4 linked regions of the Schizosaccharomyces pombe genome follow. The protein of the gene in region 1 interacts with the protein of each later gene in a biochemical or structural test. Each region holds a gene or a part of one and is shown in the gene's direction. Other genes may lie near its edges. The genes, in order: sip1, vas2, rho3 and apl4.

What was found.
Region 2: the proteins of sip1 (region 1) and vas2 form a complex in vitro, tested with the Schizosaccharomyces pombe proteins (2 studies listed by BioGRID).
Region 3: the proteins of sip1 (region 1) and rho3 form a complex in vitro, tested with the Schizosaccharomyces pombe proteins (one study listed by BioGRID).
Region 4: the proteins of sip1 (region 1) and apl4 form a complex in vitro, tested with the Schizosaccharomyces pombe proteins (2 studies listed by BioGRID).

The regions. Positions count from the first base shown.
Region 1 is NC_003423.3:1,333,435-1,339,540, forward strand, and holds the start of sip1 (Pof6-interacting protein Sip1 AP-1 accessory protein), read left to right. Parts: upstream 1-2,276; 5' UTR 2,277-2,289; coding exon 2,290-2,536; intron 2,537-2,580; coding exon 2,581-2,659; intron 2,660-2,697; coding exon 2,698-2,746; intron 2,747-2,795; coding exon 2,796-6,106. Other genes in the region: gpi13 (pig-O family ethanolamine phosphate transferase), read left to right, coding at 1-388; SPOM_SPBC27B12.07 (uncharacterized protein), read left to right, coding at 678-1,061, 1,173-1,497, 1,565-1,728.
Region 2 is NC_003424.3:1,618,292-1,622,706, reverse strand, and holds vas2 (AP-1 adaptor complex sigma subunit Aps1), read left to right. Parts: upstream 1-2,360; 5' UTR 2,361-2,575; coding exon 2,576-2,738; intron 2,739-2,791; coding exon 2,792-2,922; intron 2,923-2,979; coding exon 2,980-3,174; 3' UTR 3,175-3,224; downstream 3,225-4,415. Other genes in the region: protein meu32, read left to right, coding at 1-461, 512-1,068; bud32 (serine/threonine protein kinase), read left to right, coding at 1,445-2,050, 2,099-2,209; HOPS complex subunit Vps41, read left to right, coding at 3,963-4,124, 4,175-4,316, 4,358-4,415. UniProt on the Schizosaccharomyces pombe protein: Component of the AP-1 complex which links clathrin to receptors in coated vesicles. Clathrin-associated protein complexes are believed to interact with the cytoplasmic tails of membrane proteins, leading to their selection and concentration.
Region 3 is NC_003424.3:1,038,672-1,044,228, forward strand, and holds rho3 (Rho family GTPase Rho3), read left to right. Parts: upstream 1-2,777; 5' UTR 2,778-2,863; coding exon 2,864-2,927; intron 2,928-3,001; coding exon 3,002-3,074; intron 3,075-3,308; exon of another isoform or gene 3,309-3,398; coding exon 3,399-3,879; 3' UTR 3,880-4,412; downstream 4,413-5,557. Other genes in the region: efm6 (methyltransferase), read right to left, coding at 1-978; karyogamy protein Tht2, read left to right, coding at 1,570-2,175; SPOM_SPAC23C4.09C (chaperonin-containing T-complex associated protein), read right to left, coding at 4,549-4,593, 4,711-4,841, 4,925-5,000, 5,049-5,118, 5,330-5,403. UniProt on the Schizosaccharomyces pombe protein: Involved in controlling cell shape and septation. Regulates cell separation by modulating the function of the exocyst complex. Involved in post-Golgi vesicle transport. Involved in driving sexual development in a palmitoylation-dependent manner.
Region 4 is NC_003421.2:2,399,013-2,405,815, forward strand, and holds apl4 (AP-1 adaptor complex gamma subunit Apl4), read left to right. Parts: upstream 1-2,984; 5' UTR 2,985-3,054; coding exon 3,055-5,565; 3' UTR 5,566-5,791; downstream 5,792-6,803. Other genes in the region: acyl-coA-sterol acyltransferase Are2, read right to left, coding at 1-1,361; protein Cwf18, read right to left, coding at 6,103-6,531. UniProt on the Schizosaccharomyces pombe protein: Adaptins are components of the adaptor complexes which link clathrin to receptors in coated vesicles. Clathrin-associated protein complexes are believed to interact with the cytoplasmic tails of membrane proteins, leading to their selection and concentration.

The DNA.
Region 1 (6,106 bases):
ATCGTCTCTTGATTGGAATTTTGCATTCATTCATTCAAAATCTGCTGAAAACCAGGCTATAAGCGCTATATTCATGTTTTTGCATACGGTCGGTGCGCCGATACTTACTTGCATTTCGATTCCACTATTTTCATTCGAACCACTTTCCAAGAAAAATAGATTCTTGATAAACTTGTTTCGATTCTCCTTTTCTTTCATTCTTTATAACCTATTGATCTCGACGAGTACTGTCTTCTTTGCTGGATTTTTTCGTCGCCATTTGATGGTTTGGAAAGTGTTTGCACCTCGGTTTATGCTAAGTGGAATATTACTTGTTACTCATCAGCTCTTTGTCCTGATCCAATGCTTCGGAAGTTCTGTTGTCAAATTTCCTGAAGATGCTGAATAACAATAAAGCTTCACTGCCCTCGTTCAATTTGACGTATAATTAGAATTGTAGAAATATTTTCTTTTATATCCTTTAACATTTTAAACCTTATAAGGAAATAATCAAAACCACTTATCAATGCATTTTCATCATTATTATTTTCTATGGGTACACCCATACTACTCCTTTACGCCTTCTGATATGTACATTTAACATTCACCACAATCATCGTACCCAATTTTTAACAAAAATTAATTATGTCTGTTAATAAGTTGCTTAATTTATAATCAAAATTTGGTAGCTTGACAAAATGTTCTCTTTGCTACGAAAAGCTATAGATGTTAATCGATCCCGAATTACCTTGCATGGGATTAAAGTGCATAGTATCAATACTTTTCGTTTAATTCCTTATTCTTTATCCTTAACGAAGCAAATTCGATTTTATGCATCAGAAGGGACAGATGCAGGTGAAATGGAAAAGGGTCTTTCAGTAGTAAATGCCAATCACGAAAATCGTCCTTTCAGAGACCTTGAAGGATATCACTTCAACACATTTACATTTTTGAAAACTTTAATGGATAAAGGATATACAGAAAAAGAGGCCGAGGGTCTTCTCGAAGTCACGAATATGTTTGTTACTGATATGCTGCGACATAGTCATCTCAATTACCTGTCTGAAGCTGATTTTGAAAATGTACGTATGATTTATTAAGCTACAGAATCCTTCCGTCTTTAAATTTATCTTTAATTATAGATTGACGGTTTTTTTTGCTTTCAAATGAACTGTCATAGCTAACTTGTATAGTGCTCCTATTTGTTTCGTACAGCTTTGTCGGAGCTTCGCTCAGAGAAAATAAATATGAGAAAAGATCAAATCAGTTCGTTACGTTCAGGCTTGTTTTCAAACCAAAGGGAAGTAGAAAGTTTGGAACAATTGGTTCACGAGCAGTTAAACAAGCTTAATACCGAAAGCAAAATGGAGTTTGAAAATCGGAAAAATGATACAAAGAATGAAGTCCAGCAATTGAGTGCAAGAATTGTTGAACTACACAATTTATTAGCCGTTTCGTTAGGTAAATTGAGGGCTGAAAATGAGAGGCAGAAATGGGACCAAATAAGAAAAGCAGCAGGTAAGTATATTTATAGTTCAAACTAGGTATTTGAAATTTCATTTATTAATTTCCTTTTCTTTTTCAGGTGTGGTGATGGCTTTTACAGGGTTTTTAGTGCTGGTTATTCCATTTGGACTTGGAGTACGAAGCAGAAAAAAAGAAAAACAAGATGAGCTTGATAATTTAGGTTCATTTAATTTAGATAACAAGCGCGATGATTATACTGATACTAATCTCTCCCATATGTGAGTTATGGCCAGCAAAGCATTTCGAGCTCTTCATTAATATCTGTCCTTTCTTTTTTTTTGTGTTTTCTTCTTTGTTTATGAAAATGTTCAATTAGGTTTTATGGAAATATGCAAATATTAAGTTTTATTAGTACTCCTTCTGATCATGAGACCCCTTGTTCTTATTGTACATGGAAATACCATTATGAATAGCATAATAATTGTTTGCATTGCAGATGCTCATACTAGCGTTGAGCTGTGATTTTTGCCTTCTCAGACAAAATTTTTGTCCATTTCAAAACTAAATCTATAAATGACTTTTCGTTGTTTTATTTAATTTTAAAATTAACGATACTCGGAATGGCTATTGCATTCTAGTAGTCTCCTACAATTTAAAACATCTTTGTGTTCGTGGTTGATAAGTAAAGTGGTTAATTATAATGATAATAATAAATATATTATCTATAGACTATTTGATTATTAATTTATTGTAAATCGTGTAAATGTCGACTGCAGATTTCAGTACCTCGCAACTCAATGTATATAGATTTAGCCTAGGGAAATTGGTTTGGCCGCTCCACATATGTCGTTAGCATCATTGCCGCTCGAAAAGTTGACGAAAGTAGCTGATGTAGATAAGAGGGAGACCATATATATTGATTTACTCAATTACGAAAAACAATTGAGGAATCTGAACAAAAATACTCGCGAGGATTCATTACAAACTAATTTAAATCCCCTACTTTCGTTAATCAAAAAATATGGAAATTTTATTGCTTATCCAACTAGAAAACTTCTTTCTAACTGTATAATTGCACTCTTAAAAGGACGTATGTGAGATTTATGGAAAATGGTATATGTTAACAAGTATTAGTCGAGGGTTATCATCAGCATCGAGTTTTACTTTACTTCGTGGATAGCATTCATGAGAAAAAAGACTATATAGAGATTATGTATGTCTAGAATATTTGAAATATCAACTAACCGGTAGTAACGTTTTATCCGTTCTGACTTCTTGCTTGGAAGAATATGGAAATCAGGTATTACTCTTTTGGATATTTTCTATAAACTTATAATTAACCTTAATAGATCAATCAGCAAGAGACTTTTATAAGATTTTTCTTCAAATATTCGAAAACCAATTTGTCATATGGAGTTCGCTCAATCGCATTAGATGGACTGTCGAAATGCATTGAAACATCTATTCAGTCTACGAATGAAGATTTGATAAAAGAAATATGGAAATGTATTAAATCAAATTTAAACACTTCATCAACGAATGTTCTTTTATCTGCACTTCGTTGCGCTTACTACATTCTGGGCTCTTCACGTCTTCGTAATTCAGAATTGGAATGGTTCAAATCTTTTCTATTTAAAAAATCATCAATTGATAATTCTTTGCTCCATTCTTCTTTAGGAAGATGCTTTTCTGCACTTGCAAGTGCTCAAGCTGACAAATCGATTGAAGCCGCTGCAAACGCAGTACCCTCAACTCCAGCGGATGATGAGAACAATGAGGAAGTAGAAAATCGGTCTACTACTCGCCGTTTTGATGAAACTGAGAGTTTTCGTCACGCCCTACGGATTCTTGTCGAAAATTATCACTCCAAGCATGCAAAGTATGAAAGCTCAAAAGCGGTTCTTGTTTTTGCCGTTAAGCATCTTTTTCTAATGCAACGTCCATCCTTTGTTTCTCTCAACTACACTACTATAGTGGATATTATTCTATTACACCAATCACACTCTACTTCAAAAGAATGGTTGTCTTCGTTGGAGCAATATCATTGTACATACTTGTTTCGCGATGTGATTGGAAGGCGATTTCTCGATCAAAGCTCTGAATTGCAGGGAATTGAAATACTTTTAAAGAGAGTGTTAGAGCCTTATTTAAAAGATCAGTCGAAGATTTCGGAAATTGCTGTTAAGACTGCGATGGCTTCCACCGCTGATATATTAAGCCGATCAAAGGGTTCGGCTACTGCTTTATATAGTCAGTTACTAGATACTACACTACAGATTCTATACTTGGGTAAAGATTCATTGAAGAATGAAGTAGCCTGGTTGCTGCGCTGTTTACTATCCGTTATGCCTTCTCCTTTAATGCCCACTTTGCTTGCTCTTTTTAATAGATTAGAGTTGGAATTTAAGCACCTTCGTTCTAAACCTAAGGAAGTAAGTCCCAAATTGAATGTTGGTATTTTCAATAATCTTACTTTGTCGTTGATGTCGATTTATGTTGCCGCCGAAGAAAATCCTCTATATGTTGCTTCTTCTATATTTTCAAAGTTATTTAACTTCTCTTTGGATTTGATTAAGTCATCATCTAAATTGGATTTATTAGCGGCACAAGCACAAATCAAGACTGGTTGGCGACTATTAAGCGCTTACGTTTCTTTTGGTCCTTCTTTTACTAGAATGCAATTGTCCCAATTGCTAATTTTATGGAAGAATGCCCTTTCCAGAGTACCTTCAAAAATACATTCACAAAATTTCATGGAGACAAATGCAGACATGTTTAATCGGTTTGAAGCGTTACAGTGCTTGCTTTCGTTTTTGGAGTATAACAAGATTTTATTCACACCTGATGTTAGGAAGCGAGTCATTATTTTCCTAAATAACTGCCTTAAATTCTACAAAGCTTTTTCGTTAACCAAAAGGCTTGAAATTACCATGCCAATTCCCGCTTCAGATTATTCTCACTTGGAACTTCGCTCTCTCTTGCTTGCTCGGATTTTCCAATGTTTCTTCGAGTTGTCTCAGTTAAGTGGAATGAGTTTAGATGATCAAGAATTACTATCCACGACTGTGTCTACTATAGCCGAACTTTCTTCTTTACAAGGATATGATACTGCGGACGAAATAGTTCAAGCGAAAGCCTTTACTTCTCCAAGAGTTATACCTGGAATTGGTTCACGATTTTACGCTCAGCCAGAGGAAGAATTTCAAACAACCATGGATGATATACTTCCTTGTTATATTTGCGAGTCATCTTCTGATTCCCTGTCAGTGATTTCGAGATCAAACTCTGCAAAACTTCCTTACGTACCCCCGTCTTTAACTTCTTTAATTGATAACGCGATCCAGTTATTTGCGTCTATGTTTTGTCATCAACCTCCGAAGGTTATGGAGAGCACTCTCGAAATTATGGTAGCGTCTGTGACAAACCTCAAGAGTGGGAGAGATATTTTACGTTACAAGGCAGTAACAGCAAATACTTTATTTTCCATTTATGGATTTCTCTCTGCTTTCGATAACAAAAAAGTTACCTTGCCTGACAAGGTTGTATCCCTTATGATAGAATTGCTCGAAAACTTGACTGCTGTTAACGATCCGAAGTTAATTCCTTACATTTCGAAATCTTATGCGTTTTTGGCATATTTATATCAAAGCAAACCGACGTCCGTTTTGGATACAATAATTAAACGTGCTGCAGAGTCGGGAGATCCAAATTGCAGGGCTGTCTTGATTCTAGCCGTTGGCCATATATTAAAAAAGGTTGGTTCCGGAGTTCCCCAAACTACCCTCATCACCGCTTATCAGCTGCTCAAAGTTTTTAATACTGATTCGAATGACCTTGTTAGAGAGTGTTCTATTCGTGCTTCTTCCGTTTCTCTTGGGTCTATCGCAAAGACCATTCCGAGTGTTTTAACTGCCCAGACACGCATTTTATTGAGCTATATGCTATTGCCAGAATGTGATATTGATGTTCAGCTCTTAAAGAAGAGAAACAGTTTATTTTTCCCGTCCACTCTTTTTGCCAATTACTTGGATTGTTTGATAAATGAGCTTGGACCAAACTTGCGATCCGATTCTTCTACTTCGCATTTCGCATTCGATTTAGCTCACCAATTGCTTTTACTTAGTAGAGATACGGGAGATAACATTATACACGTTTACAAATGTTATCAGCACCTATATCTATTTACACCATTAGAAACCAATTCTGATTTCTTCATTAGGGAGCTTTGTGGTAACATAATTGACCTAAAGCAACCTAAACGTAGGGAAATTTCTATTGAAGTTTTATACCAAATATTGCTTCAAAACCATGAGTTCTCGGAATCATGTTATAAGCGACATTTTGATAGGCTTATTTGGCAATCACTCGACACCACTCCTGACAACAAGCTTTTGAAGAACATACTGTATATCTGGCTAAACGATTACAAAGATTCGGACATACACTCATGGGTAAATATTTTACTTTTTCTTGTCGGCATAAAAAATACTTCGAGTTCTGAAAGATCCAACGAACAAGATATACAAAACAACCTAGATGAAGATACCGTATCTTTGGCTTATGGAACTTCCGAAAACGCAAGTAATCCATTATTCCAGAAGAATTACCGTTGGCAGACGCAGTTTTATGCAGCTACATGCCTTAAAACATGTATCTCTGA
Region 2 (4,415 bases), on another chromosome or scaffold:
TATGGATGATACTGGAATTGTTGAATTGAACTATAGTTTATCCAAGTATTCGCCAAAATTTGAAATGCTGAGACAGTTACAACTCGGCATTTCAGTTTTCGTCTATAGCGACGTAGTCTGTCGTGTTTCTGGGATAAGAGCTTGGAAACTACAGATTCATTCCAAAAATTTGGAAAGCAAGATTGAAGCTACAATTTCTGAACCAGAGCAAATACCATGTCCTGGGTTTGGTAGCGACAATATTGTTCCGCTGTCACTAGTGAATGACTTTAAAGATGGGGCGTTCGTCAATGTATTAGTTGCAATACAGTGGAAAGAAGAATTCGAGATATTTAATAATGAAACAAAAAAATCTCTACCTAAACAAACGATACACGTACACGATATTTCTGGATCAGCCATGATCGTGTTGATAGGAGAGTCCCAAGTTAAATCCGCTCTCAGTTGGAACAATGAAACAAGTATGTAAAGATTTCTATTCAGGTATGTACCTACTCACCAAAATTTTTAGTTTTGTTGATTCATAATGCAATTGCCTACCGAACCAATACCGGAATGCTGGAATTGTCAATTAAAGATGCAATAATTCAAACACTTCAGTCATTTGATGGTAAAGTTTTGAAACTATTAAATTTTTCAATCAAAAGAAAAGAACTTATTAAGATAAATGCTTATAGATTGAGCACCCTAGAGGCTCTTGAAAAAATAGCCAGCCAATCTGGAGAAGCTTTTGGGCAGGTTGGCGTTTTAATAATGCAAAGTAAAATTAAAGATTTAACAAAAGAAGGGGGATTAGTTTATGGCAATGATTTGACAGGTTTGAGATTTGCAGATTTAATAAGCATAATTGTCGATGAAACTGGAAGTGTTAAAAACCCAAAATTTAGTCAAAAGCTTTTGGAAGAAATTACAAATATAGCTCCTACGGAGTTAAGTGTATTGAATGAAGAACAAGCAATGCATCTAGAAAACGTCTTCCTGTATAGACACTATCGAGTTTGTGTTGGTTTTCTGAACAAACAAATTTACGTGTTTTCAAGTGATGAACCCTTAAAATCATACATTTAATTATTAAATTAAATACTCTTAAGTTATTAACATTAACATTAAATCAGCATATTGATTCTGTAAAACCAGACTTGATTTGATATGCAGCAGACACTAATAAACTGAATTAAAAAAAAAAACGAACATATAAGGCTATGATATTAAATGAAGTGTCAACTTTATGCTGTAATTTTTCTTGGATAACTCAATTAATTTTTGTATTACATTTAAATCGTGGGTAAATAACAGAAATTAATCAATTTAAGTCTAAAAAATATTTATTAGTATTTGACAGTTCTTACGATAATTTTCTAAAGACAGTTTAAATTTGTGACATTTTCGGATCTCTAACGCATATTATCATTCCAAATCCCATCTTCATTTACATAACTCTAAAATGTCAGAAAAACCTGACCTTAGGCAAAGATGTTCTGATATATATCGTGAAATAAAGGAAAAGAAATTAACTGTGGTAAAGCAAGGTGCAGAAGCAATCACGATAAAAACCGAGTTTTATCCAGGTGAGGTTTGTCTTTTGAAGTGCCGACCTGCGAAACGATGGAGACATCCTATTTTAGATCAGAAATTATCAAGAAAACGCTGCTTAGTGGAAGCAAGACTTTTAGCAAAATGTCATTACGTTGGAATAAAATGTCCCATGCTGTACTTTATAGATGCCAATCGTGGTCAAATATATATGGAATGGATTGATGGACCTTGTGTACGAGATTATATTCGAGAGATCTGCGAATGTGAGATTGAAAAAAAACTTATTCCTTTAATGAAGCGAATAGGATCAGAAGTTGCGAAGATGCATAAGAATGATATCGTTCATGGAGATTTGACAACTAGTAATATGATGCTGGAGTCTCACAACAATCCGGTCCCAATTTTTATTGATTTCGGTTTAGGAAGCGTTTCCGAATCTGAGGAAGATAAAGCTGTGGATATTTACGTCCTAGAGAGAGCTTTATCAAGTACTTTACCAGAAAGCGAATCTTTGGTATGTTAACTATTAGACTTAAAGCACTTAAATTCTAACTGTTTGAAGTTTCATCATGTTTTAGACTCTTATGCCCAAAGTTGGAAACAATCTAAGGCAACACTTCGAAGATTTGAAGAAGTACGAATGCGTGGCCGTAAACGTACCATGATAGGATGATGTTCTAAATACTAGTCTCTAGAAAATTTTTTATAAAAAATCTTTCATTTATTGTTTAGTCTTTATGGTATCCTTCATATGGTTTAATTAGTCTATGGACCTTTTGCCGATGCCCTATGTATTTAGTTGCTTTAGAGTTGGCACACGCACTACCTAACTACCGCTATCAACACCAAGCAATAGTGAGCGTTAAGTCAATCTTGGCAGTCAACGTTAGATAACTGTTTTGTTTCTGATTATTTATTACCTTTTTTTTGTAACCTTTATGAGCTTTCGTCCATAGCGGTTACGAATTGAAACATCGTTTACCTTATAGTGTCAATCCCCTTTAAAGCAGCGTATAAGCATTTAATAAGCTTTTATAAGATGTCTATAAAGTTCTTTCTACTCGTAAGCCGCCAGGGAAAGGTGCGTTTAGCTAAATGGTTCAATACTTTGTCAATCAAGGAGAGAGCCAAAATAATCCGTGATGTTTCTTCACTGGTGATTACACGAAAACCAAAAATGTGCAATTTTGTTGAATATAAAGGTAAAAAAATTGGTATTTTTATTCAAAATATGAATTAACTGTATTTGTCTTAGGCGAAAAAATTGTTTACCGACGATATGCTTCCTTGTTTTTTGTTTGTGGAATTGAACAGGATGATAATGAGTTAATTATATTAGAAGTCATCCATAAGTTTGTTGAATGCTTAGACAAATACTTTGGTAATGTACGGCTTTCCCCCTGATTTGATTGAATTTGAATTGTACTTTTATTAACCGAGTAGGTTTGTGAGCTTGACCTCATTTTTAATTTCGAAAAAGCATATTACGTTATGGAGGAATTACTACTCGCAGGAGAGTTACAGGAATCTAGCAAAACAAATGTTCTTTCTGCAGTTCTAGCTGGTGATGCAGAATCGGAAGCTGATGCCCAGCAAGATAGCCTCCAAAAACTTGTGGGCAGCGTGAAGAAGCGTTAAAAATGTAACCGGTAATTGATTTCACTTTCTGTGATGAACGGGTTAAAAAAAATAGCTCTCTTCCATTTTATTACCGATTTCACTTTTCATTACAATTGTGTGTGTGACTGACATAGACCTAATTTGCATGTATCCATACACCGAAGTTTATCTTGTATCACGTTGATCATTTCGCAATAATCTGAAATGTCGTCGTTAATAACGCTTTACGACATTAAAAATCTTATGTTTTTTTTAATCATTTTCACATTGGTTTTAACAAACTGTGTTCATAGATGATATTCAGTATTGATATAAACCATCGACACTGTCATTCATGTCTCCCGTTTTACATGTTCATTATAACACTGCTGTAGTTTTGAATATTTACATTTTGCAATACCAAATAGCTAATAGTCATCGTTCACCCAGCTTTATTATAAAAGTTTAAATATATGGTCATCTACTACCGTAAATTAAAATGTACATTTGCTTGAAATTTTCCTTAATTTGATCAAATTTGAAAGAATTGTATTTTATTTGTTAATAAATCGTCTAATATTTGTATATCTTACTCACTCGTCCATAGTCATTCATACATTCATGTAGGCATTTTGTTATGTCATTGCAATTCCACTACTCATAAAACTAACACCTACTATATATTGTCACAGTTATTTTATCTACGTTTGTTACTCGAGTTCTCAAAATTGGTATTATTATAGTAAACATATTACAGTTCCAGTTTGAAGATTTTCACTACTACTAAGGCTAACTAGTTTTACCATTTACACCACAAAATTTTATGCATGTCTGTCGATGAGAGCAATTCGGACAGTGAAATTGATTCGATCAGCTCGTCTGATGAAGATGAAGAGCCTAAACTGATTTATGAAAGAATTACTGAAAAATTTCAAGGATGCTTTATGAACGACACCATATCTGCTTGTGCAATCTCTAAGGAACATTTTGTAAGCATCGTCATCTGGTTTTATTCATATAATTTAACATTTGTGTATAGTTTTTTGGTTCGCATAATGGTGCAATTTACATTTATCAGAAAAATGGTATTTTATTACGAAAAATGATACTGCACTCAGCATCTGTAGTAGATCTTTCTGTGGACCTTGAAAGCGAAAATTTAGCTTCATGTTCTATGGATGGTAAGTTAATATTGTTCTTAATTAGTACTGATCTTTATTAGGAAAAATGATCATTTCTAATATTACTACTCGCGAAACTACTGTTCATGATTTCAAGCG
Region 3 (5,557 bases), on another chromosome or scaffold:
TTTCTGTAAAATGTAAATAGTGATTGGACCACGTTCTTCGTAAACAAGATCCAACCATCCCAATATATTGCTCATAAAAGTTTTTTCATTGTCATGTCTTTTTTTGTACGCAATATATAACTTTGTGTTCTTATCCATCAATTCCTGAAGACTTGCCTCCAAATCAGAAAAGCTAGATTCATTGTACATGACATCTGACATAACAATATAATCCCAATGACGCCGAAATTTTCGAGGAATGTCATGTCCCCATACTAAAATATCAGAAGTTATGTTGTTGCTCATTGCAGACTTATTCTTTTCAACATTTTTTTCCATAAATTCAATCGCATCTTCTGTATCGGTCATTGACACAAGAGCACGTGGATATTTGCTAGCAATACTTATACCAACAATTCCACATCCGGAGCCTAGTTCTAAAACATTGATGTCTTTTCTATTGGAAAAGCTATAATGCCAATCATCAGAAAGAATCTTTTTTGAGAAAACTACGCCGGCATCCCACAAGTGCTTAGCAATACTGTTACCCATCTGTTCGAGAAACCAGAGACCATCGTTTGGTGACTTTTTTTCTGGGCCTTGGATATACCGCCATACCATATTAGGTAAAGTAGATTTCGGTGAAAAAGCTTCACTCCAAACTGGTAATACAGTATCGGCATTTATGTGTATAGAATCAACGATTGAATTCTGATTTTCTAAATGCAGCGTCAATTGAATTTGCTGGTGACTAGCAGGAAAATACAAAGTCGTTTCAGCCGCGTGACCATTCCCTATCCATGAAACACATTGCTTAGAAATTGTGATACGACTGTGAGATTGTTGTCTATCCAATGCTTCAACCCTTACGGTTGCATCTTGCGGATATGAAACTTCGCCCAGATCAGAAGTTATCGTAAAAACCACTCGTAAAGCGTATTTAAAGGATTCTTCGAGCTTTTCTTGGAGTCTTAAAATTCTAATATAATAGAAAGTCATTCAAGCGTCCAAATACTTTAAAAATCCTTGGAAAAATAAAGAAAAGGGGGTCTTACAGAAATTTTTTTAATGATCTATTAACGTTCAGTTTCCCTTTAAACCACATTCACCAATCAATGAAATAAACCACTAGCAATGAAATACAAGTTGGTTGAAAAATTTTTTTTTTCGCAATTTGAAAAACTAAAATTCTCTGAAATATCAGATTATCGCCGCAATATGAGAGAGGGTAAACTGATCGTAAAAGCAAAACAATTGAACTAAGTTGTTAATTCATGCAACCCGGTAGCAATCATCATGAAAATAATCTCTGAATTGTTGTAAGAAAAACGCATGGTAGCAAACTTAAGTCGCAAGCAGAGCAACGAGTCATAACTGATAATACGAATATTCACATAAGGAAATGAACTTTATAAACACTCAATTACAAATTTGAGGGCATAAGCAATTGCACTAACACTTTTTTACATGTTGGTTTATTATGTGTTTTGCTGACTTTCCTTTTGTTTGTTACTTTTTTGTTGTTACCAGCGCACCTAAACGAGAAAACGTGTATTGATCCCTTCACATTTTAACCTCACAATACAGAAAATGGAGAATCAGGTGTCCAGTTTTCTAATTGATTCTCCAATGGAATGGAAGACTTATATGAAAAGCTTGAGTGATGATAATCCCAGCTTTGGGGACGTAACAGTTAATTTGACGAAAATTAGCGTATCTTCAAAAAATGCAAAAAGCTACGCAGAAGAAATGTATAATTATGTAACTCAAGAGATGGTATTTATCAGTGAACGTAGTAGACTATTATTGCGCGCAAAAAGAAGGTTGTACAAAAATCAATCACTTATGAAAAAAACGTCTGTGTCAACCTCGAACACAGTAAAGATGGTATTTATGTCACTAGCAAAGCAAATTGAACAAATGCTCAAATTCTGTATGATGGTTTACAGCAAATTGTGCGAGGCGTTTGAAACAACGTTAAAGGTAGCGAAGGAGTTTCAAATTTGCGATTCTTCTCAAGAATGGTTTTTCCAATTCCAATTGGGTTATCATAGAAAACAGATGGAATTACAGATGCTTTCTTTTGTAGCCGAATGGCTTGTTTTAACTCAACATTATACAGATGCTCTGAATGACTCGGCAAAAACACTTTACGACATAATGGAAAGTAGCCATAAAGCGGCACAAAAAGTTTAAAAGCATATTCAAATGTCAAACAAAATTTTCTTCTTTTAAAGGTGCTATTCAATTCATGATTCCAACAGTTGCTGTGCAAATTAAACTATTATCATGAAACAAACCACGGTAAAGTTGGTTGTACTATTGTGTGACTCCTTTTTCAAACTCATCAAAGTACGATTTTCAATTAAATTTTAAACTTTCAATTGAAAGGGTTGCCTCAAAATTGACAAGCCCTTGGTCAACTTTCACTAACTGGTGCTGTTGATTTTCTTCCTATTTAGCAATCACGTTATATATACCGTGTATTTCATTTTGAGACTGAGAGTAGACTTCCCCAATATATTTTAGTAAAACTATCCTTCGAAGGTTTTGTTCATCAATGAATTAATGCTTTACTCATCAAAATATATTATGAAACAATCCTACTTGCGAAGTTCATTCTGTATTACGTATTTCCGTATCTCTTTTAATAAACTGGTTCGCATCGCCTTAATTATTCTAAATTTGATTGTTACCTGAAATGTAGAAGCCAATCTACAGCGCACAAGGACATGTATGTCCTTCGCTAAGCAGTAAGCTGGGGTCTTGCGTAGGCTTTAGCTCATGGTACAAAATTCGTACCTAAACCAAACACCTCTAATCCTTTATTATACAGAAACCATTGAAAAACCCATAGAAAGCTTGATTGAAGCTCATTGAAAGTATGTCAAGCTGTTTCGGAAGTAAAAAGAAGCCTATTTATCGGAAAATCGTAATTCTTGGTGATGGTAAGGATCTTGGTGAAAATTTTGTTTTTTCTTTCGTGATTTTCGCAGCTAAGCATTCTAACCGTAAATTATAGGTGCTGCTGGTAAAACCAGTTTGTTAAATGTATTTACTAAGGGTTATTTCCCTCAGGTATACGAGCCTACTATGTAAGTATCATTAATAGTGCAAAGCTGTAAACGGCGGAGCGGAAATGAGGTTACCGTCTGCAATATCAAGTATAACTCAATATGAAGCATCTTTTTTTGCAAACCTTTTATCTAACGGGTTAATTTGTGGAAATTTGTTTCATTTCTGAGGAAAACGAGAATGCCCGAGTGTGCTCTCCATACAGTCACACTCGTACAATTTCTCATGACCAAACGTCAAATTGCTTTTACTATGCTTGACCTGTTAAGGGTTTTCACCACTTCTTTACATGATTATCTTCTTGTACTTAAAAACTTTTTCCGTTATCTAACACCTAAAAATAGATTTGAAAACTACATTCATGATATCTTTGTCGATGGAAACAGTATAGAACTGTCTCTATGGGATACAGCTGGTCAAGAAGAGTATGATCAACTGCGTTCGTTATCATATTCAGATACACATGTTATTATGATCTGCTTTGCCGTGGATTCACGAGACTCATTAGAAAATGTAATCACAAAATGGCTTCCGGAAGTCTCTAGTAATTGCCCTGGTGTTAAATTGGTTCTTGTTGCTCTAAAATGTGATTTACGTGGAGCTGATGAGGAGCAAGTTGATCACAGTAAAATTATTGATTACGAGGAAGGACTGGCAGCGGCAAAAAAAATCAACGCTGTACGATATTTAGAATGCAGCGCTAAATTAAATCGTGGCGTAAATGAAGCTTTCACGGAAGCTGCACGCGTTGCCCTTGCCGCGCAACCAAGAGGTACAAAGGATGGTGCTGATGAATCCCATGGTACCGGATGTATCATTGCTTGAAAGCACTTTCTTTTGAAAGCGCCTAAAAGTCTTATTTCTAATGTTCGAAGTTTATTATTGTATATGACGTTAGTGTGGGTGTTGCGGTGGCCTTTGAATAGCGTTAACCTTTTTTCAATGGTTTGTACTTTTGACTTTTATCCCCTTTGCTGTTCTCAAGGTTTTAAATTTGACACTTGGGGATTCTGTCCGTTTCCAATGAGTTTATCTCCTTATTTCAGGTGTATTGTCTATCTTTCTTACCTTCCTACTTGAAACAGCAGGTATTTGTACAATCGTGAAAAAGAGTGTTTGCAGTGAACCTTACTTTCCTTCTTTTTTGAAACTTGTACACTTTGAGTTGTTCAATTCTCCTTCTGTTCGTGTAATCGTTGAGTTGCTAATCTAATCAATTAATCTACCCCTTTTCTTTTACGATAAGCATACTGTTGAGCAATAAGGATTAGTCTTTCGGTTGTAAGACATGGGTCTGAGTCAAATCCTACCGTTTTAGAAAGCACCTTAAATATTTATGTAATATGAAGTGTTACCCCTAAATATCGTAATTGAAGTTAAAAATTGTAAAAATTTAGACTACCCAATATGTTGTATTCGTGCATCCGTGCAACCCTAATTCAATTTGATCCATTTGAAAGTAAAACAAAATTTATTATGTCTTTATCCTTTAAATTAAAGATCCCAGTCATCCTCATCGTCTTGAACACGTCGATTGATCTAATTAAACAGTTAAACTCTGGACCATGTAATATAAACAGATGTTTTTTTTTGATATTTCTCTCCTCAGATGAATTTGAAATAAAAAAGGAGAGAAGGAATTAGTAAGGCACTTACCACAATTTTTGTTTCATTACGTTTGGAGACCTCACCAGAAATTTTTTCTAACAATTCGATAAGTTCGGGCTCTGAGATTTTATGAGATATCTGGCCCGTTTTGGCCATACGTAACAGGAGCTCTTCAACAGCTACACAAATTAGACACATGTTTACATTATTCGTAAACAGATATTAAATTATTATCCGCCGCAGAAAATGAAATCACACTTACCTTCAGCACGATCTTTTCGTACCAACGCTATACGACGAAGTCTGTCTCTTGCTGGGTGTTCCAAAATTTGAGAAAGCTTATGAAATTGTTAGTCGGATATGGACCATACACATCATAAACATACTAGATTTTGTCGCATTTCATCTTGTACCTCCTGTTGTTGCTGATTGCTTGATGGACCTGAAGCAATATTACTAGATTTGTTAATTCTTGTAAAAAAAATGGAGTATATAAATAAATTAGTTTCTAAATTCACTATCGGATTTCCTTTGTGTAATTTTAAAATGATTCATTAAATCTCGTCATTTACCAACATAATCCTTCAAGTGAATTCTAATAAAAAATTATAACTTTCAGTCGTAGAGTTTTGAAGTTTATATGCAAGTTTCGAAACTAAGAACATACCTAGGGGCAGAACCATGTTCAGCTTGAAGTTGTGCTAAACGAGCTTGTCTTATAGCTTGCAATTCTTCATCCATTATGAATAAGCCTAATTATTAAGCAAGAACTGATGCACAAATGTTTTTTAATTGAGACTTGTGTAATGCTCAAATTTGTGGTGTTGCAAAGGATTAACGATAGATTTGCGGTACTGCTATGGAATAATAGCAATTAACAAGCGCTAGCATAATC
Region 4 (6,803 bases), on another chromosome or scaffold:
AACGCAATATTTCCCAGCAGTCTATGTCTTCGAACAAACTTCTGTCGCTGAATAATGATATACGGGATTTGAGTCATTTGAAAAAACAAACCGTAACCGCGGATTTTTAAAGTGATACATCCCATAACAAGTTCATGTAATACAGAGGAGACAAAGAACGTGAAAAAAGTCGATAAAGACTTTGACATGAAAGAGTTGAGGGGAACATAAACGTGGCGAAGGAGAAAGTAATGAACGGGCTTATTCCAGGTTCGGGCAAATTGATCCCAAGTCCAGCAATTCCACCAATCATCATAAAAGTTTCTATCGGCAAATCTAGTAATCTCTGCGCTGAAATTACAAACTCCTTCAAAAATGACCCAGAACACGAGGAGGAAGCTAAGCATAAATGGGAACATCAAAAATGCTACAGTATGGCCTAAACGTATAGCAAAATAAGTAGCAGATGCGTCTTCAGGAGCTTCAATAATGGTTCGAATGGCTTTAGCAAGTACAGGAACCATGAAATGATCAGAAATAATGACCAAAAGAAAGATACAACCAAACGTTCCCAAAGCGCATTCAATCAAATAATGAATTCGCACATGGGCGGTTCTTGGGTAGTATAATTGATAACATAAGCTGGGCATGAAAAGGAAATCCAAAGCATTTGGTATGGTTAAATTTTCCGGATAAGTATTACCATGATGGTTGAGACAATGTTCATAAAACTCAACTGAGGATCGTTCATCATCATCAAGATCGGTTTTTTTTGACTGAAGCTTATTTAACGAATGATAACAATAAGAATACCAACCGTTGACAACGTTATAGGAATGAAGCTTCATAAGGATTACCATAGAATGAAGAATAAACATAGCACGATGCGTCCAGGACCAGTTGCTAAGACAGCAGCGTAAAACACAATGGCTTAAAAAAAGTAAAATAAGAATGGAATAGAGGTAAACGCCTAAACCATACCACCGCAGATATCCCAAAGCAAAAATCTTTTGGAAAGGAAAAGCAAGTAGAAACATTGAAGACATAGCAAGGTCTGCCTTTGCCAGATCTAACAAATTAGACTGAAAGTATTTAAAAATAGTGCCAACAACTGGTCTTCCAGTCAATTCGAAATTTTCTAAAAAGCTCATGAAAATCATAATAGAGACAGCAACCCAAAATAACACAAAAAATCCAGTAAAGTCTACCGCATTACGTTGATAATTACGAGCAAAAATCGAGGGAGTAGGAGATAATTCCAGAGGTCGGTAAGCGGCCCTAGACCTTCGAAGGTCAATTTTTGAGGTTTCAGAAACACCTTTGAACGTCTGTTCCAAGTTGACATCCGATGGTTTGGATTTAGCGGGTGTTGCAGCAATCATCTTTAAATAACCAGCAATTAAAGCAACTAAGTGAATATATAACAAAAAAGATAAATATATAAAGAAAAAGATAAAACAAAAAAATAACGTAAAATCAGCAGCTACGTATCGCGAACAGTATCAAAGAAATTGAAAAAGAAGCGGATATGAACGTAGGAAGATTAAATTTATTTTTTGCTTCGCTTCTAAATAAAAAATTGAGGAATGAAAGCAAGAAACTTAGAAATGTAATCTATTGATGGAAGTTCCAACTTGGAATTTCAAGATGACAGAACTGGTATGACGAAAACTCCACAGTCGTGATTCCAAAAATAAAAATTCTATGCCAAATGTTCCACTATAGAATGGAAGTAAATAAAAAGCTCGAACTCCTAAGCAATTCACGTTCTATGCGATTTATGTAAGGAAAAGCCAAGTCTCCAGTTTCAAAATGAGCAAAGGAGTTGATAAGTTAGAATTGCGAGCTAAGACGATGAACCACCTGATCTCAGCAATATCTGCAATACTACACCACGTTATGTAAAATTTCGTTACGTATCACTATATATCACATGTCCTATTCATTTATCCGCTATATGTGATACGACATTGGCACTTGCTTATTGTAGCTTATTACCAAATGACTGACAGGTACAAACAAAAAAGAATGCTCAATCGAACCTTTTTCCCTTAGTTTACATATTATGAGCATTTCAATAATAATTTACAATAACACCTTAATACCCGATTTTCGCGTTACCTGCATATCGCAATATAGTAGTGCACAAATACAACTCACTGTGATTTAACGTGCCATTAAAACTGGTTACAAACTGCATAGTTAAGAAGCAAAGCCACATAGCGTGGTCAAGAACGAATAGAGAAACATAAATTCCAGATATTGCCCATCAATTAACAACTCCATATAGCAAATTCGATAGGATAATTCAAAAATTACACAGATAACCAAAGGAAGCTAGGTATTCTTTTAATTTGTGCAGTATTGGTGAATGCATCAGTTTTGAGCGTCGTTTAAAGCTGCATCCTATTTTGTTAAGTGAAATTGATTTGATTTTCATTGTTTTATATATTCTGTGTTTAGATTGCGTTTTTCTGTTTGCTTTCAATACATCTCATAGAAATGCAAGTTAATATTTACTGGAATCAATTATAGTAGGAACGTAAAATATCTCAGTGAATATTGGTACGGATGGAAAGATAACTTTAGTATTGCACATGGATTTTATTAAGAACCTCTAATAAGGGAATGTGTATTAAACGTAATATGATTACTGAAAAGCACAAAAACCATACCTAAAAAATATTCAACTCTTAGCCATAGTACACCTTCTTAAATGTACTTGCAATAAGTGGTAACATAATATTAAGTTAATCAATATAAATGGTATTTACATCTGCTTAATAAAAACTAGGAATTATAAAAAAAGACACTTCAGCTGACTTAACGTAACACAGCAGCAACAAAACAAATTAAAATTTATTTTATTTAAAGCATATTTTTTAGTATTCATTATTGATAGATTGACGAAAGAGTCGCAACGTTAAATTCGTTTTAAAGAAATTTACCGTGCAATACCCTACCGCATGTACAAGCAACAGCCAAGTAATGCAAACAACACATCCAAAGAACCTGCATCTTACTTGTTCGGGAGTGGAAAGAGGTTTCACCAATTCCCCAAAGACGCATCCAAAGATGTCAAGTTTAAAATCTTTTATAAAGGCTGTTCGGGCATCCAAAACGACTGCTGAGGAGCACACAACGATTCTCAAAGAGTCGGCTCAAATCAGAAAAAACATTCGTCAAGGTTCTAATGACATGCGTATGCGCAGAAAAAATGTTGCCAAGCTGCTATATTTATTTCTACTCGGTGAGCCGACACACTTTGGTCAGATTGAATGTTTAAAATTGTTGTCGAGTTCGCGATTCATGGATAAACGTTTGGGATACCTAGCAGCTATGCTTCTGTTAGACGAGAACCAGGAAGTTTTGACGTTATTGACAAATTCTCTTCAAAATGACTTGAAATCTAGAGACAAATTTATTGTGGGGTTGGCATTATCTGCGTTTGGTAATGTCGCTGGCCCTGAGCTTGCAAGGGATTTGTCAAACGACATAGCCGAACTTTGCTCTAACCATCATAATTATATATCAAAGAAGGCTGTTCTCTGTGCACTTAGAGTAATTCAAAAAGAACCGGATTTGGAAAGTTTATATATTGAGAAAACCGATGAATTGTTACATTCAAAAAGTCATGGTGTTTTAATGGCTGCTCTTGCTTTTGCCATCAGTGCTTGCAAAATAAATCCGTCGCTAATATCCCGATTTGAAAGTCAAGCTGACGATTTGATTTATCGTATTCGTCAATTGTCCACTAGTACTTACTCCTCTGAGCATAACATTGGCAATATATCTGATCCGTTTTTGCAAGTTAAAATCCTTCAGTTTTTGTCAATACTTGGTCAAAATAACCCTAAAATTTACGACAAAATGAGTGATCTTTTAGCTCAAGTCTGTACTAACACTGATTCCTCTAGAAATGCAGGTAATGCTATTCTTTATCAAGCTGTGCGTACCATCCTTGATCTTAATTCTGACAGTAGCCTTCGAGTTTTGGGGGTCAATATTTTAGCAAAGTTTTTAGGTAATCGTGACAATAACACTCGTTATGTTGCTCTTAATATGCTGAAACTCGTTGTAAATAGTGAAGAAAATGCAGTTCAGCGTCACCGATCAACTATCCTTGCTTGTCTTAATGATGTCGACAGTTCTATTCAATCTCGTGCGCTTGAACTTTCTACATTTCTCGTTAATGAGGCGAACGTTCGTTTCATGGTGCGTGAGCTTTTATCATTTCTTGATAACGTTTCTGATGAATTACGTGGATCCACTGCTCAATATATTACAGAAGTCACAAATGCTTTTGCTCCCAATAAGCGATGGCATTTCGATACCCTTCTACGAGTCTTCAAATCTGCTGGCAACTTTGTCAGTGAATCGACTCTTTCAACGTTTTTACGACTCATAGCTAGTGCTCCTGAACTTCATGAATATGCTGTGGTAAAGTTGTACGCTGCTTTAAAGGAAGATGTATCTCAGGAAGCTTTAACTCTTTCTGCTTTTTGGGTAATTGGAGAATATGGTCAGATGCTTCTTTCACCAACAATGAATTTTGATGATGATCAAACCCTTCCTCATTCTGTTTCAGAATCTGATATTGTGGACATTATTGAGGAAGTATTTAATAGCGTTGAAGCATCTAGGTACATAATTGTTCAATATGGTCTTTTCGCTCTCACGAAGTTAAGTGCTCGTCTAGGTTCTTCTTCTACTGCTTCTCGTATTGACAAGATAATTTATTCCTATAAGAGAAACAAGAACACCGAGGTGCAACAAAGATCTGTCGAGTTCCACCTTATATTAAATGACTCCAAATTGAGCAAGACAATTCTAGAACCAACTCCCGCTCCTCTGCCTCCTCCTAGGACCACGCCTTATCAAAATGCGGAGCAAAAGCTAAAGGCTAACAAACACGTAGAAAAACGTGTTCAGGAAAGCAACGAATTGCTAGACCTCATTGGGTTAACTACCCCTTCTGTTGCTGAGCCCTTAGAAACACCAGTGGATGAAATGACTCAAAGCCCTCAATCCAGCTTAAGCCGCGCTCCTTCTACTTCCAAAAAGAGTCATTTTGAAGATATCCTTGGTTTATTTGCTTCTCCGGCGCCTTCAGCTCAACCGGTTGACAGCTTGGCAAGCAGCTTTGCTTCTTTGGACTTTAATGCTTCAGCCAGCCAACCATCAAACAACTTGTCTTTGCTTTCTTCCATACCATCAACTTCCAAATCATACCCTCCTATTGTTGTATTTGATAAACACGATGTGACGTTAACTTTGGTGCCATCCAAAGAAGAAAGTACCAAAACAGCCGTCATTGAAGCTAAATTTAAAAATAAAAATCCAATGACTAGGGTTGAGAAAATACATCTAGAAGTGGCAGTTCCCAAATCACAGAAACTGAAAATTCAGCCCTTGAGGACTACAAGTATGGAGCCTGGTGGAGAAACTTCTCAAACCCTGCGGGTTCATGGGCCATCGGGTTCTCAAGTCAAACTGCGTCTACGTATCTCTGTGGTCCGACAAGGTGGATCAAATACTCTCGATCAGGTAGATTTTGGAAAGTTGCCATCTGACCTTTTACAATAGTATCCGAAGTATGGACAATGCCATTTAAAATATAACGCTCGAGCTATCAAAGAAGATTTCTGACATGATCCATGCTACACTTTTTGATGGGTCTAGTCAGTTTTACGAGAAAATGTTCGTAGAATAGTGAATAATGAGGTAATAGAAAATGAAAGCTCTAATTGTTTTTATGAAAGAAAATAGGTTTTTTTTTATATAATTTTAGCAATTTTCTCGATATGGAATCATGGTATACTTATTGGATAAGTTCACTTATGTAATTTTCAAATTGAGACTTGCTCATTCTTTATTGTATATCATTGAACGGAAATTTGACCTTCCAAACCCTTCATTAAGAAGTGGTCGGATTTAGAATTAAAGCTGTAATATTATTTTAATAGAAGTGCATACCTCCAATACAATCGCAACTAGAAAAGTATAAAATGTAAAATCCTAAACTTATTTCCTTTAACAATTGATCAATGCAATAATTAAGCCTATGAATTATATATTAACTAACAGAGAGTAAATCCAACATTAGAAAGCATTAGTCTTGCTTTAAGCTTTTTCAGTACTATGCGCACGTTCAGAAATTAACTGTTGTATATAAAATGCTATTGCATTTTGATTTTGTGTTTCCAGAGACCGCATTCGCTCTTTTAAATCTCTTTCTAAATCCCATGTAGGCTTTTTAGGTCGCAAAGTTACCAAATCTAGTTCTTCAACAGGAACAGAACTTTGTTCTTCAATTTTTCTCTTAGTCTTTTCTTCAATCTCCTTCGATAATGCTTCAACTGATTCAATCATGTTTGGCGGTTCCACGAATCCCATTTTAGGTGCCTGCACTTCTGGATCATAATTTCGATGCTCAATTACATTTTTTTGAACCTCTTGAGAATCGCGAGTTTTATTCTCTAACTGCTTTATTTTCCTCAATTCCGCTAATCTCTGTTTTCTGGACTCTGCTACCTCATCTAATGAAGACATTTTTTGTTCCAATACAAAAACACAAAATTCGGAAAAACCACACTATAAAACCAGAATGAATGTAGTAAGATACTTTTTTTGTAGTAAGTAATAAGATTAATATCGAGAGATGTTAAAATTCCTAGAATTAACTAGAGTTTGACAATGCACAATAATTCCAGTTCCTAATCAGCAGTATCAAAAAACAAAAACAAAAATTGAGTGTGTAATTTTATATTAACCTAATAGCGACGAACTACCAGATCGTTTTACTTTCTAGTTATTTTTGATAA